7 linked regions of the Callithrix jacchus genome follow. The protein of the gene in region 3 interacts with the protein of the main gene of each other region in a pairwise test. Links are inferred from orthologs where the notes say so. Each region holds a gene or a part of one and is shown on either strand. Other genes may lie near its edges. The genes, in order: BEGAIN, DMD, DTNB, CEP63, ZBTB9, SPZ1 and SNTG2.

The links.
Region 1: the proteins of DTNB (region 3) and BEGAIN interact in binary tests that used the Homo sapiens proteins (3 or more experiments, as listed by UniProt). The two-hybrid records come from large-scale screens. The link is inferred for Callithrix jacchus from reciprocal best matches to the Homo sapiens genes DTNB and BEGAIN.
Region 2: the proteins of DTNB (region 3) and DMD interact in binary tests that used the Homo sapiens proteins (3 or more experiments, as listed by UniProt). The link is inferred for Callithrix jacchus from reciprocal best matches to the Homo sapiens genes DTNB and DMD.
Region 4: the proteins of DTNB (region 3) and CEP63 interact in binary tests that used the Homo sapiens proteins (3 or more experiments, as listed by UniProt). The two-hybrid records come from large-scale screens. The link is inferred for Callithrix jacchus from reciprocal best matches to the Homo sapiens genes DTNB and CEP63.
Region 5: the proteins of DTNB (region 3) and ZBTB9 interact in binary tests that used the Homo sapiens proteins (3 or more experiments, as listed by UniProt). The two-hybrid records come from large-scale screens. The link is inferred for Callithrix jacchus from reciprocal best matches to the Homo sapiens genes DTNB and ZBTB9.
Region 6: the proteins of DTNB (region 3) and SPZ1 interact in binary tests that used the Homo sapiens proteins (3 or more experiments, as listed by UniProt). The two-hybrid records come from large-scale screens. The link is inferred for Callithrix jacchus from reciprocal best matches to the Homo sapiens genes DTNB and SPZ1.
Region 7: the proteins of DTNB (region 3) and SNTG2 interact in binary tests that used the Homo sapiens proteins (3 or more experiments, as listed by UniProt). The link is inferred for Callithrix jacchus from reciprocal best matches to the Homo sapiens genes DTNB and SNTG2.

What each region holds. Positions count from the first base shown.
Region 1 is NC_133509.1:135,437,906-135,440,995, reverse strand, and holds the end of BEGAIN (brain-enriched guanylate kinase-associated protein), read left to right. Parts: intron 1-345; coding exon 346-1,692; 3' UTR 1,693-2,511; downstream 2,512-3,090. UniProt on the Homo sapiens protein: May sustain the structure of the postsynaptic density (PSD).
Region 2 is NC_133524.1:34,128,580-34,132,887, reverse strand, and holds the start of DMD (dystrophin), read left to right. Parts: upstream 1-1,371; 5' UTR 1,372-1,613; coding exon of another isoform or gene 1,614-1,644; intron 1,645-4,308. UniProt on the Homo sapiens protein: Anchors the extracellular matrix to the cytoskeleton via F-actin. Ligand for dystroglycan.
Region 3 is NC_133515.1:89,527,176-89,531,649, reverse strand, and holds the start of DTNB (dystrobrevin beta), read right to left. Parts: upstream 2,893-4,474; 5' UTR 2,846-2,892; intron 1-2,845.
Region 4 is NC_133518.1:49,699,387-49,703,822, forward strand, and holds the start of CEP63 (centrosomal protein of 63 kDa), read right to left. Parts: upstream 2,880-4,436; 5' UTR 2,753-2,879; coding exon 2,436-2,752; intron 2,394-2,435; exon of another isoform or gene 2,157-2,393; coding exon of another isoform or gene 2,000-2,156; intron 846-1,999; coding exon of another isoform or gene 775-845; intron 1-774. UniProt on the Homo sapiens protein: Required for normal spindle assembly.
Region 5 is NC_133505.1:41,686,691-41,691,231, reverse strand, and holds the start of ZBTB9 (zinc finger and BTB domain-containing protein 9), read right to left. Parts: upstream 2,910-4,541; 5' UTR 2,771-2,909; exon of another isoform or gene 2,656-2,770; intron 2,480-2,655; 5' UTR 2,408-2,479; coding exon 983-2,407; 3' UTR 1-982. UniProt on the Homo sapiens protein: May be involved in transcriptional regulation.
Region 6 is NC_133503.1:130,655,743-130,659,466, forward strand, and holds SPZ1 (spermatogenic leucine zipper protein 1), read right to left. Parts: upstream 2,249-3,724; 5' UTR 2,001-2,248; coding exon 861-2,000; 3' UTR 691-860; downstream 1-690. UniProt on the Homo sapiens protein: Transcription factor that binds to the DNA sequence 5'-CANNTG-3'(E box) and the G-box motif. May play an important role in the regulation of cell proliferation and differentiation during spermatogenesis.
Region 7 is NC_133515.1:114,023,287-114,027,714, forward strand, and holds the start of SNTG2 (gamma-2-syntrophin), read right to left. Parts: upstream 2,831-4,428; 5' UTR 2,738-2,830; coding exon 2,666-2,737; intron 1-2,665. UniProt on the Homo sapiens protein: Adapter protein that binds to and probably organizes the subcellular localization of a variety of proteins. May link various receptors to the actin cytoskeleton and the dystrophin glycoprotein complex.

The sequences.
Region 1 (3,090 bases), on a different chromosome or scaffold from region 3:
ATAGGGGTATGTGCAGCCTTGAGTGTGGCCTGAATCAGACCCAGGTTCCGGCTTCTCCAGGTGACTGCAGCTTCTGGGCTCTCCTGGGCCCAATCAGAGTGGGGAGGGAGGAGGTGACCCGGGATCCCCAGGCCATCACAGCACCCACACCCCTGGGAGCTTATTCAGTTCAGCCTCCAGGGTCCCGCTCCCCCGGGTGTGATATGAGAAGCTGGGAGGCCCTGTTCATCTGTCTGCCTGCCTGTCAGTCATGGCTAACGTCAGTCTCCAGCTTTGGGGCCAGGACTGGGCCACCATGCTGACAGTGACCCTGTCCCCGCCCCCTACTCCTCGCGCCCGTTCCAGCTGCCCTCGGACTTCCAGGAGCGCGTGAGCCTGCACATGGAGAAGCATGGCTGCAGCCTGCCCTCCCCCGTCTGCCACCCGGCCTATGCCGACAGCGTCCCCACCTGCGTCATCGCCAAGGTGCTAGAGAAGCCTGACCCTGCCAGCCTGTCCTCCCGCCTGTCCGATGCGTCGGCCCGAGACCTGGCCTTCTGCGACGGAGTGGAGAAACCAGGCCCGCGGCCCCCCTACAAGGGAGACATCTACTGCAGCGACACAGCCCTCTACTGCCCAGAAGAGCGGCGGCGCGACCGGCGGCCCAGCGTGGACGCACCCGTGACCGACGTGGGCTTCCTGCGGGCCCAGAACTCCACCGACAGCGCGGCTGAGGAGGAGGAGGAGGCCGAGGCAGCGGCCTTCCCGGCGGGCTTCCAGCACGAGGCCTTCCCTGGCTACGCGGGCTCACTGCCCACATCCAGCTCCTACTCCAGCTTCAGTGCCACGTCGGAGGAGAAGGAGCACGCGCAGGCCAGCACGCTGACCGCGTCCCAGCAGGCCATCTACCTGAACAGCCGTGATGAGCTCTTCGACCGCAAGCCACCCTCCGCCACCTACGAGGGCAGCCCTCGCTTTGCCAAGGCCACGGCCGCGGTGGCAGCCCCGCTGGAGGCCGAGGTGGCCCCAGGCTTTGGGCGGACCATGTCACCGTACCCGGCTGAGACCTTCCGATTCCCGGCCTCTCCGGGTCCCCAGCAGGCCCTGATGCCCCCAAACCTGTGGAGCCTACGGGCCAAGCCGGGGACTGCCCGGCTCTCCGGGGAGGACATGCGGGGCCAGTGGCGACCCCTGAGCGTGGAGGACATCGGCGCCTACTCCTACCCGGTTAGCGCCGCTGGCCGTGCCTCACCCTGCAGCTTCTCTGAACGCTACTACGGTGGGGCCGGGGGCAGCCCGGGCAAGAAGGCCGACGGCCGCACCAGCCCACTCTATGCCAGCTACAAGGCCGACAGCTTCTCCGAGGGGGACGACCTCTCCCAGGGCCACCTGGCAGAGCCCTGCTTCCTGCGGGCGGGTGGGGACCTGAGCCTCAGCCCCGGCCGCTCTGCTGACCCACTGCCAGGCTACACACCCAGTGAGGGGGGTGACGGGGACAGGCTTGGGGTGCAGCTGTGTGGGGCCACCAGCAGCCCTGAGCCCGAGCAGGGCTCCAGGGACTCCTTGGAGCCAAGCTCCATGGAGGCCTCCCCGGAAATGCACCCCGCCGCCCGCCTCAGCCCCCAGCAGGCCTTCCCGAGGACTGGTAGCTCGGGGCTGAGCCGCAAGGACAGCCTCACCAAGGCCCAGCTCTATGGAACCTTGCTCAACTGAGCGCCACGTGCAGGCCTGGCTGTGGGCCTCTCCCCGCCAGCCCATGGCGCCCCAAGGGGCCGGCCTCACCCCCCAGCCCCTGCTGTTCCCCCGCCCCTGCCAACAACCAGGCGTCTGTTCCTCCCCGTACCTCCTCTCCTCCCCAACCCCATAGGCCCGAGGAGGATCCCCCCGCACTGCGGTGTCCACCAGCCCCGCCCCATGGAGCTCCACTTAGAACGTTTTTCACACTCGTCCTTCCCCCATCTGAGAGGGGCATCCCCCCTTTTATAAAGCGAAACTATTTTTATAGAGAAAAAGGGTCTTTCTAACGCACTTGGCCTCCAGCTCCCTGGACGGCTGCCTTGGCGTTTTCAACACAAAGCTCCTTTATTTTTGGGTGAGGGTGCGTGGGGCCTGCCCCTTGGAAGGGAAGGGAAGGGAAGGACCGTGTCCTATGGAGACTGGACTCTGCAAGTGGGGAGAACACCCCCACAAGCCAGTGACAAGGAAACCCAGAAGTTGTGTCCACGAAGAGGGAGCTGAAACGAATTTGGGGCTATGAAGTGTTTTAAAAATCATTTTTCGCAGTGTGGCCACCGCGCCGCCCTGAGCCCCCCCCACGGCCCATAGTCCCGGGTGGGCGGGGATGATGTCCCGGTGCGGCTGGCGCTCATCCCGCCCCCACGTCCATCCCTGACACCGTCTTACTCTACCTCAGACATGATGAGGCCCTCCACTCCCGGTTTCTGTAGCTTGCGTTCCTGTTGTCTCTGATGCATGCCCTGTCAGTTACTATTGTATTTTGCATTCATTAATAAAAGACACTGGTGGAAAGAATCTAGATTGGGCTATTTCTCCTCCTCCTGCCTTTTGGTCTTGGGAACTTGGAGTCCCTGGTGTCCCCACCCTCAGCCTTGCTCTCTGCAGCCAAGTTGGGCCCCTTAACCCCACGTCACACCCCGTCCCCACCCTAGTATCCAATTTCCTATCTAGGGTGCGGATTCCCCTGCCTTTCCCAGCCCACTGGACATGACCGTTCTTTCCTCTGATCTCACACTCCTGTGCGCTGCCCACGGATTTCCTGGCCTCTAATCCTCACGTCTCAGACCGCTTCTCCTTGAGAGGTACTCAGGCTGCGGACAGAATGTCAGCCAGCGGCTTTTCCTTGGCACACGGGAGCTGCCACTCTGCTCTGGCTTCCTGTTGGTACTGGGAACTGGCTGTCAGGCTGGGAGCCGATCCTTTGGTTGGAAAAAAAAATTGCTTTCTCTTCCCCAGCTCTTTAAGATTTTCTCTTTGACTCTGGCGTTCTGCGGTTTCCCTGAGGTGTGTCTGGGTGTGGACTTCCTTCTTAGGAATCTTCTTAGGATTCTCAGGGAGTCTGACACGTGTGGATTGGTGTACTTCACCAGTTCT
Region 2 (4,308 bases), on a different chromosome or scaffold from region 3:
ATAAGCCCCCAAATCATTTTTTTACTTTTTTCATGTTGTTCTATGAAAATTTTGCTTATCTGCATATTTAGACAATCACACTGAGAAGAAAGCTGGTAACCTACAGAAAAGAATGTTATAAATCTATTTTGAAAGAAGTAAATTAAATACAATTACCTTAAAATTAGGCCTTATGTTTTAGTTCATATACATTTTGCTGGGGAAATAGCAGTTATGACAATAATATTCTAAAACACAAAATGAATAATTAACTATTAAGGTAAACATCACAGTCTGACTCAATATGTTTTTTTTATTTTTATCTGTTACTCATTTCTGCGGCAAGCAGTTGAATGTTTGACATAGAAAAATGAGTCTGTCACTTTAAAAAATGGTACAATAAAAACACTCAAACAAAAATTTTAGTAGGGATTATTATAACTGTAAAAGGAATATCTTTCTAAAAAATATTACCAGTGTTTCCTATCAATTTTGGGCTCGCCTGTTGCATAAAAGTAATAAGGAAGAAGACAAAGTGGACTTCTATTGGCAAAGAATGATTTACATGCTGAATGACACAATACAACTGTATTCATTTAATACAGGAAAAAAAAGCCTTTAATTAGAACCATTAAATGGTCATTAACTCATTGTCTAAGAAAACGGTGTTTTAAGAATTGGCACCAGAGAAATGGAAAATAGAATAATTTGGTAGTAAAGAAGTTTTATCATAATTCACAACTGAAATTTAGGATTTGAGAAAAATTTATTTACTCCATTATAAGAGTGTTCTTTATTTCAGCAGGAAAACTTGTCCCATGAGACCTACACAGACATTCTGCCTTCAGAATTCAGCTGCTGAATTCTGCTGCTGCTTTTCTTATTCAAACTGTTGGCATCATCAATACATGACTTTTGATTGGATCCCAAGGGTAAAAAATAACTTTGGTAGACAGCAGATACATAACAAATGCATAGATTATTCTGGGCATTTCTTTCTTTTGGTAGAGTGAAATTTTTGGTGTTGTTAAGAAGGGGAAAAATGCATTTAAAAGTCAATTTTGAATCAGGATTTTCTGCTCTGTTATTTTGTAAATTCACGTAACAGTTACAGAAAATATTGTTATGGTTTGGTACTGAATAGTTTTTGTGTTTAGAAGGCTTTAAAAGCAAATACTATGTCCACTGTGCTATTCTGGTTTGGATATTAATCAGAACACAGTTGAGCATTATTTGAATTCACAGAGCTTGCCATGCTGGAAGCACAACCTTATATGTAGTGACCATGGACAGTCCTATTATGGGAAACCAACTTGAGAGAGAAGGCGGGTCACTTGCTTGTGCGCAGGTCCTGGAATTTGAAATATCCAGGGGCCTCTACAGAATCCTGGCATCAGTTACTATGTTGACTCACTCAGTGTTGGGATCACTCACTTTCCCCCTACAGGACTCAGATCTTGGAGGCAATTCCCTTCAGAGAAAAACGAATAGGAAAAACTGAAGTGTTATTTTTTTAAGGCTGCTGAAGTGGATTGGTTTCTCGTTGTTTTTAAGCCTACTGAAGAAATAAAGTTTGAAGAACTTTTACCAGGTTTTTTTTTTTTAATTGCTGCCTTGATATACACTTTTCCAAAATGCTTTGGTGGGAAGAAGTAGAGGACTGTTGTAAGTACAAAGTAACTAAAAATATCTTTTACTGTGCCATAACGTTTAGTTTGTGACAAGCTCACTAATTAGGCATATTGATTTTAAGTGAGTAGTTTGCAAAGAAGCATAAATGTTATATATACTGCATATATATATATTTTTTTCAGGTATTATATTTTTCATTGGGAAAACCTTTCAACAGAAATGGAGTTTAAAAGAGTTTTTTTGTGATAGAATTAAACACATAATTTCTTGATTAAGAAACCACTGAAGTAATAGAATATGCAGAATGTCATTTGAGTATAACAGACTATTTTGATTGCTGTGAGATAGTTTGTATTTCTGAGTTATTATTTTGATTAGTTGGTACTTCTGTATTTAGTTACAGTTACATAAAGGTTACTGACCTGAGATATATTCTCAATTGAACTAATTACTGTATAGGAACTACATGGAGGCCTAAAAGTTAGGAAAAGTTTGTCTGACATATCATGGGGGAAATAAAGGATAATATGAGTTGGGATGGATAATTGGAAGATGGGAAAAGTATTGACAAGATTTAACTGTAATGTTTCTTACTCATATTTACTATTTCAAATGCTCTTTTCTGTAGTGTATTGTGATAACTTTTTCAAATAATTATTTCAAACAAATCACACAAATAATGATATGATCTATGCTCTCAAATGATCAGATGATCTCTTCTTGGGAAAACAACATACAAACTTGAGGAGATCCTAATTATATTTCATAGTAAAGTTACCATGTTGTTTCATGTCTATTATGAGCTAGCTTTTCAGTACAACTTTTTAGTCTGGCTTTCATATAGAAATGCAACTATTTTGTGTATTTTTAAGAAAGCCATGATGACTAATGAAGGATTTAAAAAGGGACCGAGGCACAACAGTAAAAATAATGTACAATAAGGATTGTGTGTCCCAGAGATGGGAGATTATCTCTTCCTCACCCATCTTTGACTTGTGGAATATAGTTATTCTAAAATAGGTATGAGGGCAATGCCTATAATTAAGAATGAAAAAATAAATCTTTCTAAATAAGTAATACTCTACAACTTCTAAAAACAAAATCAGAAGTTTGCCACTGTGAAAAATTTGTGGAAATAAGTTAACATTGTCCATGTATTGATTCACATTAAAAGCTATCAGATTTTATAATATAACAGTTAACTTATATTGTTTCCTTACTTCATAAATCTCTTTTGGTGAGCATCATTATTGCTTTCAGATTGAAAAACTGTTATACTTACTATCATTACAAAAATATGCATGGTATATATCTGTAGTTTGCAACATACACACATATTTTTTATTTGTTGTTTTTATTTCTTTGATATTTATAACATAAATACTATCAAAATCACTAGTGATTATATATATATATATATTCTACATAATTAAACTCATACACAAGTATATAATGCAATTTTGAAAGAATAGATGCAATTATGCTGGAATAAAGCAAGGTAAACCTACACTCTGTTTTGTCATAGATACTCAAATAACTCTCAATTCTTAGAATGTGAAGAAAGCTAATCATTTTGGGACATGTCCTGTAGGATTTTTTCACACTACATTTAAGAAATCATCAAGTAATGCCTATGCCACATGACAATGAATTTGTTAAGAAAAAAATAGAGATATTCTCAGGGTTATTTTATACATTAAATTTTGCTGTTTGTTAACATACTGCTATTGGGATGTTTGACATTTGAATCCAGTTTTAAAATTTGCCTTAGTTTGAAAAACTTACAAAAGTACATTTTGTTGTTTTTAACCAAATTAGCTACCCGTTAAAACAGATCACTGTATTGTCAAACACATTGAATTGTTTACTTTTAGAATTACTCAAATAATGCATTGTAAAGAATTATTCAGGCAGTGTATTGCAAACAGACATTTCATTTGAATATATTTAAATGATGTAAGTCATCTTGAAGTCTACTAAAATCGTCATTTAGAATTTCATTTGCAGAATCTTAAAGGCATTTTAACTATGAAAAAGAGATTGCTAATCTAAATTGATGATACAATGTTTAATACAAAGCTTTTGGTGTATCTTACATGGCATTAGATTATGAAAAATACATTAGAGTATGTCATATGTATGTTACTCTAAACTTTAAAAAAGACTACAAAGTGTTTCATGCATAATTACATTATTTAAGGGAAAAAAGATGTTGGTTGACACTATTCCACCTAGGCAGCACTGAATTGCAAATTCATAATTTGGGCAGAGATATTAATACAGCTTCCTCTTTAGTCCTATAGTATTCATTTGAAATCCCTGTGCTCCACGTCATTTGCTACGTAGGAAACAAATTGTCAAGTTTTTAACCACTTGTGTTGTTTAATAAAAGAGATTAAAATCATTGTCTTGGAAACATCAGGTGTTTTTCAAAATTCTATTTTATTATCTTTCATCACAATTTTATCTCAGGAGAAAAACAAAGTGACTTCACGAACTTTTCTTCTCCTTCCACCTTCTATTGTAATAATTTCCTAACTTATTGAAAATGATTTATCATACTTTTTCTTCAATTTATTCTTTATTTCATCACACATACAAGAAACACAGTATTTTGGTATGAGTATATATGTTTATATATACACACATTTATATGCATTCAATTCACAGGGTATTACATTTCCTAAGAGGTTCTAA
Region 3 (4,474 bases):
ATTGGGTTTTTTTGTTGTGTTTTTTTTGTTGTTGTTTTGTTTTGAGACAGGGTCTTGCTCTGTAATCCAGGCTGGAGTGCAGTGGCGCAATCATATCTCACTGCAACCTGGACCTCCCCAGGCTCAGGTAATCTTCCCACCTGAGCCTCCCGAGCAGCTGAGACTACAGGTACATGCCTCTATGCCCAGCTAATTTTTGTATTTTTTTGTAGAGACAGGGTTTCACCATGTTTCCCAGGCTCAGAAATCTCAATTCTTAGAACTTATTTTATTAAAACATTCAGTTATGTGTAATTAAATGTATGCAATAGAATATCTTACCAGAGTTATTTCTCAAAACCAAAATTTAAAAAAATACTTACAGAGCTCTGATTAAATTATGAGATAGAAGAGTCCCAAATCACTAAAATAACACTGTAAAAGAACGTTTTAGATGATATAAAATGGTATATGTAGTATGGCTCAAATTTTGTTTAAAATATGTTTGAGAGACCAGGCATCGTGGCTCATGCCTGTAATCCCAGCAATTTGGGAGGCTGAGTCAGTTGAATCACCTGAGGTCAGGAGTTCCACAGCAGCCTGGCCAACATGGTAAAACCCTGTTTCTACTAAAAATACAAAAAAAAAGCTAAGAATTAGCTGGGCGTGGTGGTGCATGCCTGTAGTCCCAGCTACTTGGGAGGCTGAGGTAGGAGAATTGCTTGAAACCCAAAGGCGGAGGTTGCGGTGAGCTGAGATCCATCATGGCACTCCAGCCTGGGCAACAGAGCAAGACTCTGACTCAAAGTAAAAAAAATGTGGGAGACAACACAATAGAAAAAGGAGCAAGCATTCTATGGAAGAGAAAACACATGGTCAATAAACATAGAAAAAGATCCTCCATTTCATTCGCATTCAGGAAAATGCAAATTAATACTACAACGTTGTACACCTACTAGCATGGCAAGTTTTAAAGTTTCACAATTCCAAATGTTGGAAAAAAGGCTAATCAATTGGAAACTCCTATACAGTAATGGTGAGAGTATAAATTGGTACAACCATTTTGCCAATATTTAACAGGTTGAAATTCTACCTACCTTATATCCAGCTATTCAACCCCAAAGATACTCTTCATGCATGCACCAAGGGGAATGTGCAATCACTGCACTGTCCTTAGTACTTTTTTTTTTTGGAGGCAGAGTCTCGCTCTGTCACCCAGGCTGGAGTGAAGTGGCATAATCTTGGCTCACTGCAACCTCTGCCTCCCAGGTTCAAGCAATTCTCATGCCTCAGCATCCAGGGTAGCTGGGATCACAAGCGTGCATGAGCACGCCCAACTAATTTTTGTATGTCATAGAGACAGGGTTTCACCATGTTGCCCAGGCTGGTCTCGAACTCATGAGCTCAGGCAATCTGCCTGCCTTAGCCTCCCAAAGTGCTGGGATTACAGGCATGAGCCACCACTCCCAGCCTGTTCTTGAGACTTATGAAAACAATCCAAATGGCCAGCAAGAGAAAAATGAATGTATAAATGTGTATATCTCCACAGTGGAAATATTAAACAGCAGCAAAAATAAAAGAACATTTGCATAACACAGCATGGATAAATTGAACCAACATTTTTCTTCGTGAAAAAAGCAGGAAACATATGACTCATAGCATGTTACCATTTTTACAAAGCTGAAAATCAAATAAACACAAACAATTTCTAAAATTACTTTAATAAGGCAAGGGGAAAAAAAATAAGGCAAGGGAATGATACTCCCACCCCATGAGAGGAAGTGGGAGACTAAGGGGTGCACTTAGGTAAATGACAATTACTGCCATTGTTTATAATGTTTTGATTCTTGTGGGGGGAGTGTAATGTTACATATATTCTTTGAATATATCAAATATAATATTTATCAAAGATAAAGGGAAAAAGTGTGTGTTTACTGTGTTCCTTGAATAAGACTGGATGAATATAAACCAAAATATTTGAAGAAGTTATCTCTGGGTAATAGGATTAAGAATTATTTTAATTTTCTTTGCATTTGTTTGTATTTTCAAACTGTCTTAAATGAACATGTACTTTTTTGGAGGCAGGAAGAAAAATATTTTTTAAAATCTGTGCTAGAACCTGTTCTATTTTCATTCCACAGTCTGAACATCCAAGTCTTAATTACCATAGTGATAAATGATCTGGGGAAGAGATGCGTGGTGGAATCGCCAAGGTCATGTGCCAGGTAGTGAGTGAGCTGAGAGTGGCAGGGAGGAGGCTACAGAAGGATGTGAGCGAGCTGCGTGGGAGGGCAGACACCTGCCCTCCGAGTGTCAGTGTGAGCAGGAGGAAGGTAATAACAGCTGAAGGAAAACAATTTAATGAACCTGAAAACCATTCCTTAAAGTTGTAAATAAAATCCACTGTCCAGCCTGCTCTGGCTTCTAGCTTCCTTCTCCCACCTCCACCCCCATCCCACCAAAAAAACCAAGAACGTGCAGATAGCAATACTCAAAACAAAACATCATAATCGCATCTTTGTATCAAATTATTATACATTGACACCATAATGTGTGTCTCGTTCTGTTCTCTGCCATTTACAGATGGCGTGATAGGACTGGAAGGGGTCCAGGAGAGAGTAATTCAAATGATTAGCAGAAAGAAGGTCCTTCACAGGAGGCAAACAAAAACCAAAATCCATCCTTCAGGGGATGGTGATAGCTTGGCTGCCAAAGGTCCGCACAGTCAGGACACAGACAATGTTGCCGAATCTCACAGTCCCAGCAGTACGGGGTAGCGCGCCATCTGTGTTGACAGAGGCAGATTTGGAAGAAATGAATAGGAACTGCTATTTTGCATGGCAAATAACAATGTGGAAATCCTTACCCCCAGAGGCTGAAGCCTGAGTCCTCGGTCTTGGCCAAATGTGGAATGAAGCTGGCACAGAAAACCAGCTCGAACACCTCTGAGTGGGATTCGGAGGGCGGGGAAGAGAGGCAGCGCTAATGGTGGTGTTGATCTTTACTCTCTGTATCATCCTGTGGATTATGAGAGCCTGTGACAAATTGCATGAAAAACCTTTCAAGACAAAGCTTTCTAAGATTTATCTCGGGAACAGCAGTTGTATTCTTCAATAAAACTGTCCTTAGGTGTCAAGCTGAAATTTGGACTGGCTTGGATAGCTAGCGAGACTTCTGTCATATTTTCCAGGTGCTGGGATTACAGGGGTGATTAGCTATCATTCTGCCATACCATGCAAAGCTCACGAGGCAGGAGGCTTGATGGCACCCCAAAAGATCCCAAGAATTACCCCAAGAAGGCAATCCAGAGGCTAGAGTGTCCGAGGAAGAGTGTCCTACAGGTTTTGTTAGTTTATCAAAGGCTTGTTTATTTATGTAGTGTTGTCAAACACCTGAAAATGTCAACAAATTCTATGTTGACAAAACATTCTAAACTGGCTCAAGGGTAATTCAAGCTGTTCTCACATACCTGTCACCTGGTATGCTTTTGAGAAAATATACCTGCACCCAAAATTCATCTAGATGAACTAATCTTTTTTTTCCAGCCTGTTACCCAGGCTGGAGTGCAATGGCGCGATCTCAGCTCCCAGCAACCTCCGCCTCCTGGGTTCAAGAAATTCTCCTGCCTCAGCCTCCTGAGTAGCTGGAACTACAGGCTAATGCCACCATGCCCGGCTCATTTTTGTATTTTTAGTAGAGACAGGGTTTTACCATGTGAAACCCTGGATCGAGACCAGGATGGTCTCGATCTCTTGACCTCGTGATCCACCTGCCTCAGTCTCCCAAAGCGCTGAGATTCTAGGCGTGAGCCATCACGCCTGGCGGAACTAATTTTTTTTAAGAGACAGAGTCTTGCTCATTGCAGCCTCAAACTCTTAGGCTCAGGAGATCCTCTGGCCTCAGCCTCCCAAAGCACTAGGACCAGGCATGAGCCACTGCACCTGGGCTGAATTTTTTTAAGTGACCCCAAGTGATATAATGCGTAGCCAGGGTCGAGGAGCACTGAGCTTCTCCCATTTGTTAAAGTTAATCATTTGAAGGGTTTCTGGCTGTACAAAGAGTGCAAAGGGCGCTGGAAACTAGCTGGGATAGAAGTAGAGACCATTCCGCCGGCTCGGCGTGCAAGGTCTGAAATACGTCCAGGGTGCCCCTGCATGGTCGTGGGTGAGGGAAGGGAGGCTCAGCTGCTTTATTTTTTATTTTTATGTATTTATTTATTTTTGAGATGAGTCTTGCTCTGTTGCCCGAGCTGGAGTGCAGAGGCATAGTCTTGGCTCGCTGCAACCTCCGCCTCCCAGGTTCAAGTGATTCTCCTGCTTCAGCCTCCCAAGCAGCTGGGATTACAGGCATGCACCACCATGCCCAGCTAATTTTTGCATTTTTAGTGAAGATGAGGTTTCATCATGTTGGCCAGGCTGGTCTTGAACTCCTGGCCTCAAATGATCTGCCCGCCTCAGCCTCCCAAAGTGCTGGGATTCTAGGTGTGAGCCACCAC
Region 4 (4,436 bases), on a different chromosome or scaffold from region 3:
GCAAGTTAGGAACTGAATTTTTAATTTTATTTCACTTAATTAAACTAGCCACAGCTGGCTAGTGGCTAAAATACTGGACAGTGCAATTCTACATCTAACTACTGGTTTAGAGCAGTGGTCCTCAACCTTTTTGGCACCAGGGGCCTGTTTCATGAAGAATTTTTCCACCGACAGGGTGAAAATAACATATTTTGTCTTTTTTTTTTTTGTGAAAATTCATATGAAATGTTGTTTGGGGGAAATGGCCAAACCACTTCTTGACTAATATGAATAATACACATGGACATGGTTAGGGACATGGTTTCAGGATGAAACTGTTCCACCTCAGAGCATTAGGCATTAGTTAGTGATTCTTTTTTTTTTTTTTTGGAGACAGAGTTTCGCTCTTGTTACCCAGGCTGGAGTACAATGGCGCGATCTCGGCTCACCACAACCTCCGCCTCCTGGGTTCAGGCAATTCTCCTGCCTCAGCCTCCTGAGTAGCTGGGATTACAGGCACGCACCACCATGCCCAGCTAATTTTTTTGTGTGTGTTTTTAGTAGAGACGGGGTTTCACCATGTTGACCAGGATGGTCTCGATGATCTCTTGACCTCGTGATCCACCCGCCTCAGCCTCCCAATAGTTAGTGATTCTTATAAGGAGCGTGCAACCTAGATTCCTCGCCTGCGTAATTCACAATAGGGGTGTGCTTCTAGGAGAATCTAACCTCATGGCTGATCTGACAGGAGGCAGGGCTCAGGTGGTAGGTGATGCTCACTCTCCTGCCACTCACCTCCTGCTCTATAGCCAGGTTCTTAACAGGCCACGGACCGTAGTGCTCTGCGGCCCCGGGGTCGGGAAACCCTGGTTTAGAGGACATAAAGGCAACACAGATACGTGTTAAAAGATACTGTGCAATGCAATCTGCTAAATTTAGAACTGCAAGGAAAAATAAGGGCCAGTCCTATAGCTATAGCTATGTGGGAACTGTTATTGATTAAAAAATGTCAAATGTGTATCACCCAAAGGTAACAGGCAGACGTGGGATTTTGGTTCAAACAAGCTAACTGTAAGAAGACATTTAGGAGAGAGTTGAAGAATTCGGAATCTAACTAGATATTGACATTAGGGAATTTTTATTAATTTGTATACGTTTAATGACAGTATTGTGGCTTTGTAAAACTGAAAAAAACCTAGCTGGGGGGGGGCTAAAATAACATAGAGATCAGAGATTCAGTTCCTGAAACCTTATGTCAATGTTGGCTTTAGCTGAATTTCAAGTCAAGTAGACATTTTTTGAAAGCAGGAAGCTATGACAGAGTCGACTACTGATGCTGTCACCATCTGCCAGCACAACATAAATGAGAACAGAAAAAACTAAGAAAAGGTCTTTCACCTTTTAACGAGAGGAAATGGCATCAGTACAATCAACATTAATTTTTACAGCTTTTAGATTTGAATCTACATATATTTTAAAAGGCAGTGCGCTTGTTTATAAATCTCTACCTCATTTTAATTTCAGAGCCTTTTTTTACTACCTGATCACTGATAACTACAGTCAAAAGGCAAGATCGATCTACAAATCATACTGCATTCCAAATAATATACACACTTTAGTATATCATTAAGCTACAACTAACAGAAATCTAATTAATGATCCTTATGATTTCTTCTTGTCTAATAAAAGCTAACACATGAGGAACCGTATAAATACGCGTTCCTACCCTACAATACTGCTTCTTCAAAGGAAAAAATTCTTTTAATCAGTTTAATCGGACATAAGGCTCAGGGAAAACTATTTTATGCATATTAGTGTACGGTGCTGAAAGTATAAAAGATGACTAGTATCTGACATCGCACTCATCTTCCTGATGTCGTAAGGGACATAAGAAAAACCACATTATAAGCCTAGATGTACTGTCTTCAAGTGAATGAGCAGGTCCCCTGTGAGATGAATGAAGTAGTCCCAACAGCGTTAGCTACACAGCAGCCCCGGCAGGGAGGCGGCGCTGGGGTACCTGCGCTGAAAGGGATGGTGGGTCCGCCGGGCAAAGTGAGTCCTGGCCGCAGCACGCCGGCCCCCCTGGCCACCCTCCGAGGTGACCCCCACCGCCCGGTCTCCGCGGAAGGGCTGACCACCTGGCAGAGCCGAACCCGCGCGCCGGACGGCGCCATGCCCGACAGCGCCAAGCCCGACTCCGCTGGTCTGCGTGGCGCAGCAGGTAAGGTCGAGGGGCGGGTCTCGGAGGCTGACCCGAGCCGGCTGGGACGCGCCTGGTGACTCGCAGGCTGTGGCGGGAACCAGCCGCAAGCTATGAGGCCACGAAGCCAGGGTCACCACGGCAGCATGGGCCGCCTCCAGACCAGGGCACGCCCGCCCCTTGCCCGTCCGACGTGCGCACAAGCGGTTACAAAGCTGCGACAAGCGCGCCCCCGAACTTTTCCCGCCGTTACCTCAGGCCGGCGCAGCGCACGCGCGCCACCGCCGAGCATACTACCAGCCTCTGTCGGCGCGTTCGTCCCGCCCACTGCCCCCACACTTTTAATTGAAACTCTCCTTCAGACTTCCCCGGCCCGCAAGCAAATGGACTCACCCACATCCGGGAATCCGAGGGAAGAGCGTGGGGACTAGTGATGCTGAGGGCGTGGCCGGAGGAAGCGCCAGCTGCTGTGTGCTGGATGCTGGTAAGGGTTTCCAGCGACCCTGGTCTAGGTCTTGGGGGCGCAGAAATGCGTTCGTTTCTCAGTGTCGGACTTTCCCGTATTCCCATCGGCTGAGGTCGTCACTTTAAACTCATAACTATTTCCCTTACTGCACGTTGTGTCGGGAGGAAAGGGAATTGGGTGGCGCCTCCAGACTTCCCCATCCGCGCTTCCACGTTTGGCACCTCCTGCCTTAGGCCGGAAGCCGCAGCTGACGGGCGGCTTCACGTACGGCGCTGACGGTGGTGGCCTGCGAGGCTCATTTCTAGCGAGGAACAAGGCTTTCCAGCCTTGACTTCAATAAATACATGTTTACGAAGCTATATATATATAATACATAGAGATTGTTAAGACATTCTTCTGTCCTGGGAAACGCTGGCACCGCGTGTCTGGAAAGAAATACATCTGGGCTGTGTGACAAACTCCCCAGTTGGTGCCCTGCTGTGTGCTCAGGGAACTGTGCGATCCTTGGAGGGGTAGGTACTAGGACCGCGCTCAGCCTGGGGTTTGGAGGCGGCCTCCTACAGGAAGCTCCCTGGGACCTAAGATTTTTAGAGGTTCACTGGAATAAAAAGGAAGAGAAAAAAAGAACATTGCAAGCATTGGGACTGTAACGTAAGAAAAGTTTGTTCAGGAAACAGTGGTCGTGCTGTGTGACGAGTACTTGGGACGGTGACTGTGCCCTGGGCATTGATTGTCTTGATGCTTCCGATCCTTCCGGTCCCTTATGAGTGAAGGCACCTTTGCATCTAACCCTGGAAATGGGATGTTGATCTTCAAGAGCTGACGCCTGCTTTAATCTTGAAAGGAAGAGTAGCATTAGTGATGTGGAAAAGGGGATTTTAATTGCCAAGGCTGGAAAATGTGACATGGTTGGAGGTGTTTGGTGAAGGGACAGGTGACAAAGATTGAGGCCAAACTGTGGAAAGATCTAAGAAATCATGGGTAAAAAATGTACCCTTAACAGTTGGAGACAATAATACCTGAGCAGTTATCACAAAGCTGACCTAGCTTGTTTAGTAGATTAAGTTAGGACAAGAAACAGGAGTTCAAGGATAGAAGGCCTATGAAGCTCAAGTGATTTGAGAAAATTGTATTAAAAGGTGGAAAATCTGTGTGGGCCTGGGGAAATGTTTGGATCAGCTGAGGAAAGTGAGAAGGGTATCCCAGGGGACAGAGCAGCAAGGACGAAGGAGTAGCAGCACAAAAGTGGGGAGCTCTTGTAAGACGGGGACTACGAAAGTATAACCAAAACTTCGTCTTGCTTTGAGTTATCCACTGGGTAGTACTGGGTTAATTATTGAGTACTGGATTAATTAAGACCTCACCTGGCTCACCGGTGATAGAAGTAGCAAGACACATTTTGCTTAACTTTTGCCCAGATCCTTATCATGGGGGTAAGAACCCTTGCCCATACCAATCTGTGTATAATTTTTGCCAAGGAGTAGGAATACCTTGCAGTTACCCTATGGGGGACGTCTGTGAGCCATTTTTACAAAAGCTTCCACCTGCTTTGGCCCAAACCTCAGCATTCCTAAGCACAGGAGCTCATGAACATACTGAGATGACACTGAGGTGGAGTATACGAAGGGACCAACTACAGACCAGAGTTGTACAAATCCTCAAGGCAAGGCAATGTCTGAAGTTGAGCTTGTAAAGGAAATGGCTTTATTCCTTAAAAGAGCATCCAGGCCGAGCTCTGAAAAAAGTACCTCCAGGTGGTGGGTTCCACCCTGCTTCCCCAAAATTGCT
Region 5 (4,541 bases), on a different chromosome or scaffold from region 3:
ACTTTAAGTAACTGCAAGTCCCACCCCCCATTCCAATATCTATCCCCTCCATCTCTCAATGAAGGGGCTATCATACGTGGGTGAGATGGGAAAGGAAGGGGTATGGTCCTACTATACAAGTTACTCTCCAGCCTTCAGCTTGTGCTGTCTGAAACCTGAGTCCCTCTGACCAAGGCAACTTGTTCAGAGAGAAGTGGTGCCACCCTGAAAGCACTTTAGGACAGTGCCATCTCCTGAGTTCACTGGTGACAGTTCAGTCACTGTGACAAATACGAGTTATCAGTGGTGGTCAAAGGCAGACCAGAGGCACAGGCTGTTGAGGGAATACCCTCTATTAAAGAAGGTTCTAGGAATGAAACATGGAATGCTCAACTTGTTGAAGGGCTCAACTACAACATTAAAAAAGTGGTGGGAAGGTGTCTACTGGTAAGAAAGCAAGGTACAACGTGAGGGGCTCCTCAAAAGACACAATTTTAAAAGTACACAAAAGGAACTCTGCTTAAATGATTCCAGCAATAAGGGAAAAAAAGCTTAGAGCTTAGCCTCTGAATTACTCAAGCTCTGAATCAAATGTATCTCTAATTCAAGACCAACTCCTTTAATTCCTCATGGAGACTGAATAAAACATTTACCACTCTTTTGCCCTAACTCTTCTCTCACTAAATAATCGAAAATCTGGCTTCCTTAATGGACATCACCACTACAAAAAGGTCGACCATGGGCAAGTGATCAACTTGAGTATGAATGGCCTATAAACCAATTTCCTGCAGGGTTCCCTAACCGAAACCCAGGGTGAGATGAGAAATTTGAGTTTCCACATCTGCCAGGCTGAGAGGCCCTTATCTAAGAACAGGGCCATAATGTATCTATTCTCTTGGCTTGATTACAAGATCCATGACTGGTGTGCCATGGTAATGAGGGGTAAGTATCCATTGGCAGCAGTGGTTATCTTGTCCTAGAAGCTAGTGTATAGCCTCAGCAGTCACTTGTAAGTCCAGTGGGCAGTGGCCCAACCCTGGCCCTTGCATAGGTCCCGGTGGCGGAGAAAACAGGCATGGACTCTGAACCGACGGCCACAGTGGGGACACGCATGCAGGGCTCCAGCATGTGTCTTCATGTGCTCTGTTAGATGGTGCTTCAGCTTGAAGCGCTTGTTGCAGATGCCACAGCCAAAAGGCCGAAGGCTGAAGGTCAGCATGATGTGCCGGTCACGCTTTGGCTTCACCGCAAACCGCTTTCCACACAGGCAACCAAAGCGTTTTCCATCTGCAGGGGGTGTCCCCCCTAGCTTCACAGGCCCATGCACAGCCTGGCCTGCTCCCCCAGGTCCTCCGCCCCCTGATAGGATTTCATTCCCATGAAGATCCACTGGTTTCCAGGATGGACCCCCTCCACCAGATGTTGGCCCTGCCCCTGAAGGCAACAAGAACCCTAGCTCCCCATTCCCTTCAGTGTCCCCTCCAGAAAACACTTTGGTCTCTTCCTTTGCTCCTCCAGGCTGAGTTCCACCACCTGATACCTCCTCCTTAGGCTCAAAGGGTTCCTGCTTAATGTAGCAGATTTTTGGGGGTAGTGCAGTAGGAGGGGCAGGAAGCTCAAGTGGTGCACTCTCCCCCTCTGGAAGCTTTCGGGGAGTAGCAGTCATGGGCAGTGGGTGGGGTCCATGAGGATGGGGAAAAACCCCTGATACTCTCTGGGGCTGAGGAGTCTGAGTGAGTGTGGCTGACCCCTGGTCCTCTTCATCATCTTCTTCCTCCTCCTCCTCTTCTTCTTCCACCTGAATTTGCAGCACTTCTCCCAGTTCACTTCCCTCCCCTCCCACAGGGCTCTCGGTGGAAGCAGGGCTTTCAGTGGAAGCAGAGGACTGCACTGGGGTCTGGAAAGGGGAAGAGCGAATGCACCAGCCTCCTGTAGAGGATGCAGTGGAAAGAACTGCATGGTAGGAGGTTGCTCCACGGGCTGAAATTCCACCACCTGAAGTTTCTAATTCTCTAAGAATCTCTGAGCACTGATCTACTACTTGCCACATTTGAAGGCCACTGGCCACAAGGAGATGAGCAGGGAGAGCATCCAGTGGTAGGCGGAGACGCCCTGAATAAATGAGCTGGAGTAGCCCCTCGAAGGCATCGGCTTCAATGACACTCGGCAGAGTGAGACGAGGCGCATCCCCTAGAAGCAGCTTGTCATGGAAGTAAGGAGAAGCAGCAGCCAACACTGCTTTGTGAGCTCTAAGTTCCCGACCCTGCACCAGGAGGGACACATCACAGAACTTTCCCTCTAGCCTGTGGCGGTTCAGAGATTCCAGCAGCGAAGAGCTATGCTGCGGGAACTCGATCTGGATTGTCCGCGGGGCTGGGTTGCAGATCGGGGAGGTGGGTACAGGGGGCAAAGGCGTCGGGGTTTCCATGGCCTCCTCGAAGGTGAGAAGGATTGGAAAGAGGAGAGGGGGCCTGGGGGTGGACTCCACGCGGGATGAAGGCTGTAGAGGAAAGACACAGAGGTCACAGAAGCCCTTGATAGGGGGAGCCACATCTCCTCAAACAACCCCCTCCCCCCACCAGCAATAATTGGAAACTTTTCGTCAGTGGCGGTTTCTGCAAATCAGTCCCGCACACCAAGAAAGCAAACAAACCACAACAGCAACAAAACACCAACCGGGGTTTCAATTTGCAGCCCCAGTGAAAGATGAGAAGGAGGTCCTTCAGCCACGAGCCTGCTTTCGCCCGCCCAGAACAGCTCCTGCCCTGCCGTTCCGCCTCAGAGTGCTCACAGAGGCTGGCTCCCGGGAAGACGCGGTCACCGGACACCGCGAGTCTCGGCCCTGGTGTCCTTCCGCCGACACGCCCCCGCAGTTACACACGCGGCGCTGCCCTCACAGGTACCGTGCGGCTACATCACCATCCCAGGCCGGAAGCCACGGCCTCCGGGCCGGACGCCGACGCCGAGTGCGGCAGGCGGAGCTAGAGCCCTAGCCAATCGAGGAATAGCAGCCTAGAAGCCCCGTGTCGATTGGCTACCGCAGACGAGGAGGGCGGTGCTAGGAGGAGGCCGCTGGCCCAGAGCGCCGGCGGAACGGGCGTCCTGTGTAGTTGCGGAAGTCCTCGCCGCCGCAGAAAACCGAGAGCCAGGGCCCGGGGGAGGACATCCCGGTCGGAGGGGGCGGGCCGTCAGCCGCCCCCGGAAAGCTGCGTTTCCCGGTGATTAAGTGTAACGCCTGCCCCCGGTAGGTCCTGAGAGGAGCGAGATTAGTTGAGCACTTACCTTGTGGGCCCAGCACTTGCCCACGTCACCTTGGTCCTCCCACCGGCCCTGCGAGGGTAGAGGTTGCCGTCCTCAGTTTCCAGGCGGGGGAAACGGACTGAAAGCGTCACTTAGCTAATAGTAGTGGACCTGGGACTGGAACCTGGATTTGCTGAAGAACCGGGTTCTTTATTCTGCACGGGAGCATTTTAACCAGCTATTAAAGAAACCTAATTTCTAGGTAATTTTTAAAAGAAATAAATGTGGATATATACATAACTCTTTTATAAGATAACGCCGCCGTTCCTGGCCTTGGACTAAGTGAAGCAGTAGTGAGAGGAGAGTTAGACTGGAGTTCGGCCAGTGCAAAACTCCTGCTCTAAAATATAAAAAATCTCGTTGGGAGGGGAGAGTGACAGTCTATGAGGTGAGTGTGGCATCAGGTGGGGATATAGTTTTTCTCCCAGGCTGTCAGCTTCCTTTCAGAAAGCAGATTTTACCACCCTAAAGGTCTGTCTGGAAGGCCCTACCTCAGAAAGTCAGCACAGCGATAAAAGAACAATCTCCGTTTATTAAACATGTTTTTTCTGTTTCACCACACACTCCAGAAAAAAAGGAAATGGGGCTGGGAGTGGAGAAAAGGGGACAGTGAGGAAGGATAGATAAGGCTGGGAGGGGGATGGGGAGGGAGAACGAGAAAACAAAATAAAACAGGTAGGAAGAGCATCTCCCTACCCTTAAGGTGGTGGGTGGGGAGGGAAGCAGAGGGGCGGGGGGGAGGGGGCCAGGAAGCTCTGTACAGAAGGGTTGCCCCCAGCCCACACACACACACCCCGGATATGTACAGTACAAACCCCAGATAATTACAACAGCCAAAGAGAGAAGGAAGGTTGGGGAGGGTCCAGGGGTAGGGCCTGAGATGGGGAAAGGGCACAGGGATAAAATTTCACATATTTACAAGTTTTATATAAGTATAAATTTGGCCCCGGCTGGGTGTATGTGTAGGGGATGGGACTGAAGGGGAACTGTCCATACAAAAGAAAGAGGGGTAGAGTCTAGGAGAGTCTCAATACCAAACGCAAAAAGGGATGAAGGGGGCAAGGCTGGGTAGGGGACAGCAGTCAGGGAAGAGGGGGTGCCAAGGAGGGGCCTCTCCCCTCCCATGGCCTACCCACCCCAAACCCCATCCATCCTACCTCCCCTATCCCGCCAGAGAACTATGTACAGAGAAACACCGAAAAATTGTGGAGCTGGCGGGAGGGAGTGAGGTGGAAGGAGATTGGGAGGGGGAGGATGAGAGG
Region 6 (3,724 bases), on a different chromosome or scaffold from region 3:
ATGTCATTGCACTCCAGCCTAGGCAATCAGGCGAGACTCCATCTCAAATAATAATAATAATAAATAACTAAATAAAATATAGATATGTCTCTATTCTTCTAAACAAGTTGAGGGCGTCCTTCCCAAGAGCCTCTGCTGCCCAGTATGCCCACAGTTCACTAGCAGAGGAGCAACGGGGGCACATTAAGAAAAGTAGAGCCAGTGCAGATTTATAAGAGAAAAGCAATTTGTTAGGGGTGGATTATTAGCATTTTTAAAATTCCCCCACATCCCCTACTTGTAAAATAGGAAAAGGAAACATATTTAGAAAGGGAGCTATAAAAGGTCACAACTAAAGCACTATATATCTTTTTTTCACTTAATTTTTGTTGTGTTGCCCAGGCCTGTTTCAAACTCCTGGCCTCAAATGATCCTCCCACCTTGGGCTCCCAAAATGCCACTGCACCTGGCCAAAAACACTATACAGTTTTTCCCCCAGAACTCCCCGTCTCCATGAAATGATTAAATAAAGAAAAAAAAAATACTTTCCCTTGTCGTTAGGTCTTTACTTAATTTAGGTCTTTACTTAATTGGATCTTTAACTTCTCACTCTAGGCTGTCTATCTAATAATTACAAAAAAAACGAAGCAGATTATGGAGGTGAAAAGGTGAACTTGATGTAGACACAATGGTCACTTAAGACCAGACTTACATAATTGCTGAGGTAATAAGCAATATAAGTGTTCATCTTCTTATTCTGTAGCTCTTTTTTTGGTTGAACCAGCAGATCTGCCCATGGTTTGATGATTGATCATGCCTGAAGCTGGATGTATCAGATGTATTTTTTAAGGATTCACCTCTTCATCTGCTTTTGATATTTTCTATCTTACGCTGCTAACTGACCTCTTTTTTCTCATAAGAGCTTTTTTTGCAACATGAATATTGAACTGGTTATTGCAAGCTTTCTTATTAAGACAAACATCCAGGCTTCTACAGGATCTCCCCTTTTTCTGAAATGTACCCCTCATTTCTTGCTTGTTCTGCTTATACATTTCTACTTTCTCTGCTTCGGATGGCTTCTGATTTTTCTTGTCCTGTTTATAGTTTATCTGAATTGGCTTCTCTTGCAGAGTTCCCTGGTTCTGATGATGGAGTTCCTTGAGAATCTCTATTCTCTGCTGTAAGATTTGGCATTCATTCTCTAGCAAAGCTGCCACCAACTGCAATGAACGGGTGTCATGGCTCAGTTTCTTCACCTGTTCCTCCAGCTCATGCTTAGCTGATGCTTGATTATTTGTTGGGGTTTGGAAATCGACTCCATTATTTCCGAGAGTTTCACTTATGTATTTCTGAGATTTATGGTAGGATTTTATCAGTTCGCTGAGCTCGGTATGTTGTTTATTCCAGTGTTCTGCTTCCTGTAGTAACTGCTCCATGTTGTTCCTAATTTTCATAGTTTCTTCTTGAACACTAAGGAGTCTGTTTTCCTGACTTTGTTGAGTTTCATTAAGAACATTTTTTTCTTCTAAACGATTTACCAAATCTCTTGCAAAAACTTGTACTGTGTTCTCGAAGTTCTGGTTTTCCAGTATCATCTCCTGTTTCTTTTCATCCTCTTTTTTTTCTGGGTCTAAACTCACAGGCAGGTTTGTTGATAACATTTCATTGATTCTGCCAAGTCCTCTCATGTTTTCTCTGTGGGCTGACACATCCTCAGAAATACTGGTTTCCTCAAAAAGTTCTTTTGCTTCTGTGATCTTCTCTTCAAAACCTGCCATATTTTTAAGAATGTCTTTAATTTCTTTTAAGAGATTGTTAAACTGTGCAGTCTGTTGTTCTGTGACTTGATGGTTGCTATTCTTTAGGGAAGCGAGAGAGCCCCAGAAGGAAGGGGAAAGTGATCCAATTTCGAATAAGGCAATGATAATCTTAGGGTCCAGAGATTCTTGATGAGGATCAGGAGTAGGGTTAAGTGTTTCAGAGAGGGTGGGCATCTCGGCTGACTTAGCAGAGTTGGCCATCAGGACAGAAGGAAAGCGGAAAACCTTAGAGACTCCAGGAAGAACAGGTGATGGTCTTTCATGCAAATGTGGGTGGAGATTGTGGAATCAAGCAGAAGTCAGAGACCAAAGTTAAGGATTAAAACTGAGGAGATGCTGTTTAGGTGGAAGGTGGCATCTCAGACAGCCTTTCGGGGAGAAAGAGTGGGAAAGGGGACTGGAGCTGGGGCTCCATCTCTCCTCCTCTAGGCACCCGGTTTTTATTCTCTGGCCCTAGCAACCATGTCTTTATTGTGTCACTGCACCATTGTGGCCTATCCCCAGCATCTGTCTCCTTTGTGTCACAGTGGAAACCTCTCAAATTCCTGCTCAGTGACTCATGCATCAAAAGCAACCTTGGGCTACCCCTACTCCTCATGCCAGAAAGAACTCTACAACAGCTCTTCCCTCCTTAATTTCTAAATTGCTATTCATCTCAGTCTAAGTGCACTCAGTTACTTCCCTACCTCACTCCTATTCCCCCACAATCCTGACCCCAACCACAGCATGTTTTGACCACTTAAGGGCATGGCTGAGGCCAGTCCTCTCTGGTGAGGTCCCCATCCTTTCATGACACCTAGAGGCTTTATTGCTCCCATTCTAAGAGAGTTGTGACTGTAAAAGAAAGTTATCCATACAAAACAAAACCCCAGACTGCTACACCTTTTGTGATTTTAGGAAAGTAAAGCCAGAGTCCCTCCATTCAAAAAGATTCTACTGCTGCAAGAAGGGACTATCTGAATGGTTATTTATAATAGTAACACAATTACAAACTGGGGCTTTTCTTGGCTTTGAATATAGGCATTCTTCAAGACACGCTTGGCAACCTTGCTCACGAATCATTTACATCAGGTGATAGAAAACTTGAACCATTACTTTTCAGGGTAACTTATTTGGAGATTTTTTTTTTCTTTGGCTATTTTATTGATCTTCTAAGATTTTCACACTCTACACAGTAACTTGTTAAAATGACACAATTATATATCTAAAGTGTTTGATTAGCAGGGTGTTGTGATGTGTGCCTGTGGTCCTAGCTACTTGGGAGGCTGAGAAAAGAGGATTACTTGAGCCTGGGGGGTTGAGGCTGCAGTGAGCCATGACTGCTACTTAGTGCACTCCAGCTTGGGCAACACAGCAAGACTCTATCTCAAAAAATTTAAAAACTGGCCAGGTGCAGTGGCTCACACCTGTAATCCCAGCACTTTGGCCTGGAACACTTGAGGCCAGGAGTTTAGGACCGGCCTGGGCAACATGACAAAACCCCATCTCTACTAAAAATGCAAAAATTATCTGGGTGTGGCAGCACACACCTGTAATCCCAGCTACTCAGTAGGCTGAGGCATGTGAATTGCTTGAACTCAGGAGGCAGAGGCTGCAGTGAGCTGAGGTCAGGCCACTGCACTCCAACCTGAGCAACAGAGCAAGACACTGCCTCAAAAAATTAAAAACTGAAAAGCATTTAAAACAGGTAAATTCTACAATGGGTTACAGAAAAGTAACAAGTTTATTAAACTTCTTTTATTTTAATAAACTGCTTTATTGTCTTTTTGTTCTTAGGAGTCAGGTCTTGAGAATATAGAATACAATCAAAGAAAACATTTCTTACGTATGACTTTTTCCTGGCCTTCAAAATCTTGCTAGTAAGCACTTCAATAGAAAGTTGCTTCCAGTCTTAGGAAAACTTATACTCAGTTTTTTTTTTTCCC
Region 7 (4,428 bases), about 24 Mb from region 3:
GGGTAACCTTCCAGGTCAGACGCTTCATTTCTCTCATGCAGCAATTCCTATCTGTGAACAGATGGTTAAGTGATGCCCTTACCAAATGCACCTTGAAAACCACCTAACGTAGCCTCGCCTTTCCGTTCATCATATAAATGGGCATGTTCCTAGCTCACGCCAATGATTCTTCCAGCAGCCCAGACTGAAGACGTGTTGTCATTCAAAAGCAGTGAATGTGCTGTAAACACCAATCAATAGTCATGTTTGAAGCTACAAGCAAGACACCCTTAGCACACTGTATTGATGGTTCTCTGCCAGTGGGATTTTACCCAAAAATCCAGGTATGGTCAGAGACAGAGCTCCATGAACTGACCTAACCTAGAAAAAGGCATGGGGGACAGGCGCTTTAAAGAGGAAACAAAACACTTCTGCTACTGAACAGGAGACCTTCAAATCTGGCTAAATTCCATGATTCAAACAAGCAGTCATGATAAAGAATGTGTTATGTTTTTGACTTCAGACAGAAAAAATATAAGATTTAGGCTGGGCGCGGTGGCTCAAGCCTGTAATCCCAGCACTTTGGGAGGCCGAGGTGGGTGGATCATGAGGTCAAGAAATCGAGACCATCCTGGTCAACATGGTGAAACCCCGTCTCTACTAAAGATACAAAAAATTAGCTGGGCATGGTGGCGCGTGCCTGTAATCCCAGCTACTCGGGAGGCTGAGGCAGGATAATTGCCTGAACCCAGGAGGCAGAGGTTGCGGTGAGCCGAGATCACGCCATTGCACTCCAGCCTGGGTAACAAGAGCGAAACTCCGTCTCAAAAAAAAAAAAAAAAAAGAAATATAAGATCTAGAAAAGATGTTTTGTCATCTTTTTCTACGTAAAAGCACCAAGTTCTCTTAACTGAAGTAATTACACAATTTGAATATTATGCAGTTATGGCAAGAAAATGGATAATTCTGCCCAGCTGTCTCTGGCATTAAGCAAGGATGACGCTGCAAGCTGAGAACATTCGTGTTTTGAAGACAAACCTGCCAAAACCAACACTGAACAGTTTCCTTTTAAACAAGTAAGATTCTGGGCTGACATTACCCAGCACCTGTGTCTAGGGCAGCTTTAGAGCACACCTAAGTGTTTATGACTGCAAAGTTAGGAGTCTTGCTCTTAAAATGCTCCATCTTGTAGCATTTGGCCTCGAACGCTGAAAAAACGTTTCTTTCCATTCAGTTCGGATAGGCTGTTTTCAATAATCGAGGCCGTTATTACAAAGAATGCACCAATCACATCTTGTAGCAAACAGGTGAGTGGAGGCCGCCCTTGAAAACACCAAATTGAGCACCTTAATTAACACTGAGCACAAAGGAGACCATTTACTAGAATACGCGCAGTTGATGCACGTGTAGAAGTTATCGCCAATAATCCCTCAAGTGGGTCAATTATGAAGTGTGATGCCTCCACTTCAAAGCTTCCGCTATATCTGCAATGATTAAAAGCAAGACTTGTTGCAAGAAAGTCTCGAGAAAAATGCACAATCCCTAACCATGGGAGGGCATCGCTTTAACGCTGAAAGCAGTGGAGAGCCTGGGATTCCGGGGAGGCCGCAGCTCCTCCTGCAGTCGCTTCCCAGGTAATCCCCGCATATCTCCTCGGGTTGGATGACCCTGGGCCACCGTGGGATAGATACTCATATTGCAAAGTACTTCAAGAAATAAACACCCGCTTTTACATGAAATTTCATTTTCACATGTTGTGTAAAAGCCCAGAAAGGTATGGCTTGAATGCAGATGCATCTATGTCCACACGGAACAGAGTGGCTGGGACCACGGTCGCAGTTTAGAATCATTGCCATGAGGACAGGAGTTTGCAGCAGCCCCAACCTGTGGCCTTCCGAGCCGTCTCCGGGGCCCTACAAAGGGGAGCTAAGTGTACTCCTGGTCGCTCCTGGGGCTGGGAGCTCGCAGGGAGGGGATCCCGTCGGCGGCTTCCCGGGACTGGGCGGCCACGTGCCCCCCGAAACCGTGTTCAGAATCGGGGCTGTGCTGTGGGAACTTGAAAGCTTCCAACAACTTTTCGTTTTTCTTTGAGCCAACGTTTGTTTTCTGTCAATCAATAGTTAATTTAAAAATAAGAAGGTGGAGAGGGAGTTATTTAGGGCAGGAGCTAGAATCGACTTCCAAAAAGACATCTCTGTGACCAGCTGGCGTCCCAGCGACCCCGGAATGGCCGGGAACCCCCAGCACGGGCCGAGGCGGCGCCGCGAACCCTCAGGCTCCCCCAGGCCGAGTCGCACCAGCCCGGGCGCCCGAGGCTGCAGGGGGGACGCTCGGTCCGCGCGCTCCGCGGGGCCCACCAGAGCTGCCCCTGGAAGAAACGCGGCGCCCAGTCGGAAACCCCAAACTCCGGAAAGCGCCACTTGACGCAGTGAAGGGGAGCCCCGCGCCTCGGAACAAGCCTTTCCAGAGGGTCCAGGCGCAAACCCCACAAGTTTCCCGCTGAGACGCCGCGCAGGAGAGGGCGGAGCGCGGGGCGGGGGTCCAGGGGGTCCTGGCTGACCGCGGCGTCCCGGACTCCGGAGCCCTCCCAACGGGCAGCCGCCCCTGGAGGGAGGGAAGGGGCGCGGGGAGGCCGAGGGGCGCGGAGGGAGAAGGAAGGGGCGGGGGCGGGAGGGACCATACTCACCGGCACAGGCACCAGCAGGCAGCCCGGGCGTCCGCGGGGGGCGGCGGGAAGCGGGAGTCCCTCGATGCTCATCGCCCAGCTCAGCGCCAGGACCCCACGCGAGCCTCCAGAGTCCCGCCGGGCGCCGCGTCCGAGCCCCTCTGCAGGCTCCGGCTCGGGTTTCGCGCGCGTCCGTGGCCTGGGGCGCGGGACTGGGAACCGGGAGCTCCGCCCACGAAGTCCCGCCCCGGGCGAGGGAGGGGCGCGGCGTAGCCGGAGTCGGGGTGCCGGGCGCGCGGCTCGCGGGGAAGGGCGGCGTCTGGGGGCACGGGGCGTTCCCTGGGGTCGGAGGGACCTTCGAGGGGCCGGCGGGGCTGGAGGCGGAACACGCGCTTCTCCCGGGCTGGGTACCCAGGTCCGCGTTCCAGGCCCCGGCGCTCCTTTGAGGCGCAGGTGGGCGCGCTCTGGACCGGCCTGGCGACCCCTCCCCGCCGCCCCCGCCCCGGCCCAAGGTCCTCAGCTTCTCCTCGGGGACGTTTCCAACCGCAGCCTCGGGGTCCCCGGGCGCCCCCAGCCCTCTGGGGTCCCCACACCTTCGCCGGCCGCAGCCCTCAGACCTTCCTCCGGCGTCTCCCCAGCAATGGGGGAGCCCGGAGGACCCCGAGGACTGCCCGGCCCGAAGAAAAGACAGGGAGTCCTCCCCTTCCCCCAGCGCCGCTCCCGTCGTCCTTCTCCCTCCATCGCCCCAAAGGTCCGCGGCCCCGTCCCGCCTCCGGGGCGCGGCGTCTCGCGAACCCTGCGGGGACCCCGATCTCGGCTGCGGCGGAGACGCGGGTCCCCCGTTCACTCAGCTTTGCGCCCAGAGGAGCCTCCCCGACGCCCGCACGGGGTTCCCAGACTCAAATCGGCCTATGTTAATGTAAATGAAGTAAGTTTAGGGTAAATTCCCGTGGGGCGGGGCAGTGAGGGGCGCACAGGCCACCTACATTTTTAGAAAGAAGCTGGCGCCCCTTTTCCTCCTTTCCAACCCCCTCCGTCCTCCAGGCCAGGCCTGGGCGCGGGCGCGTCTCGGAGACCCGGACGCCCCTGTCCCTCCCGCTCCGAGGCAGCAAAAGCCGCGAAGTCTGAGGCCTTTGGAGGAGGTTCGCCCTCTAGGAGCAGAACTTGAGTGAACAAATAAACGTTGAAAAATCGCTGTGAAACGCTTTCCTTTTTCTGACTCCGACTCGCTTGGCCGCCGGCAGACCTGGGTTTCGGACCCGGGCGCCCCCCCATCCCCCCATCTCTGGGTTCCAGGGCGGCCTGCGGGGGATCTCAGGGCTTCTCAGCACCACCTTTACCGGAGCCAAACGCAGTGTTTTCTTTTTCTTTTTGAGACGGAGTTTCGCTCTTGTTACCCAGGCTGGAGTGCAATGGCGTGATCTCGGCTCACCGCAACCTCCGTCTCCTGGGTTCAGGCAATTCTCCTGCCTCAGCCTCCTGAGTAGCTGGGATTACAGGCACGCGCCACCATGCCCAGCTAATTGTTTGTATTTTTAGTAGAGACGGGGTTTCACCATGTTGACCAGGATGGTCTCGATCTCTTGACCTCGTGATCCACCCGCCTCGGCCTCCCAAAGTGCTGGGATTACAGGCTTGAGCCACCGCGCCCGGCCCAAACGCAGTGTTTTCTTACCTGGCTCAGTGCTTCTTGGGTGAATTAGTCAAAAATACTGTACTAGTTTTCATTTGTAGCAAAACCTAGAGTAAGAAAGAAAAAGTACAAGAGAGTATCGTTTGCCTTT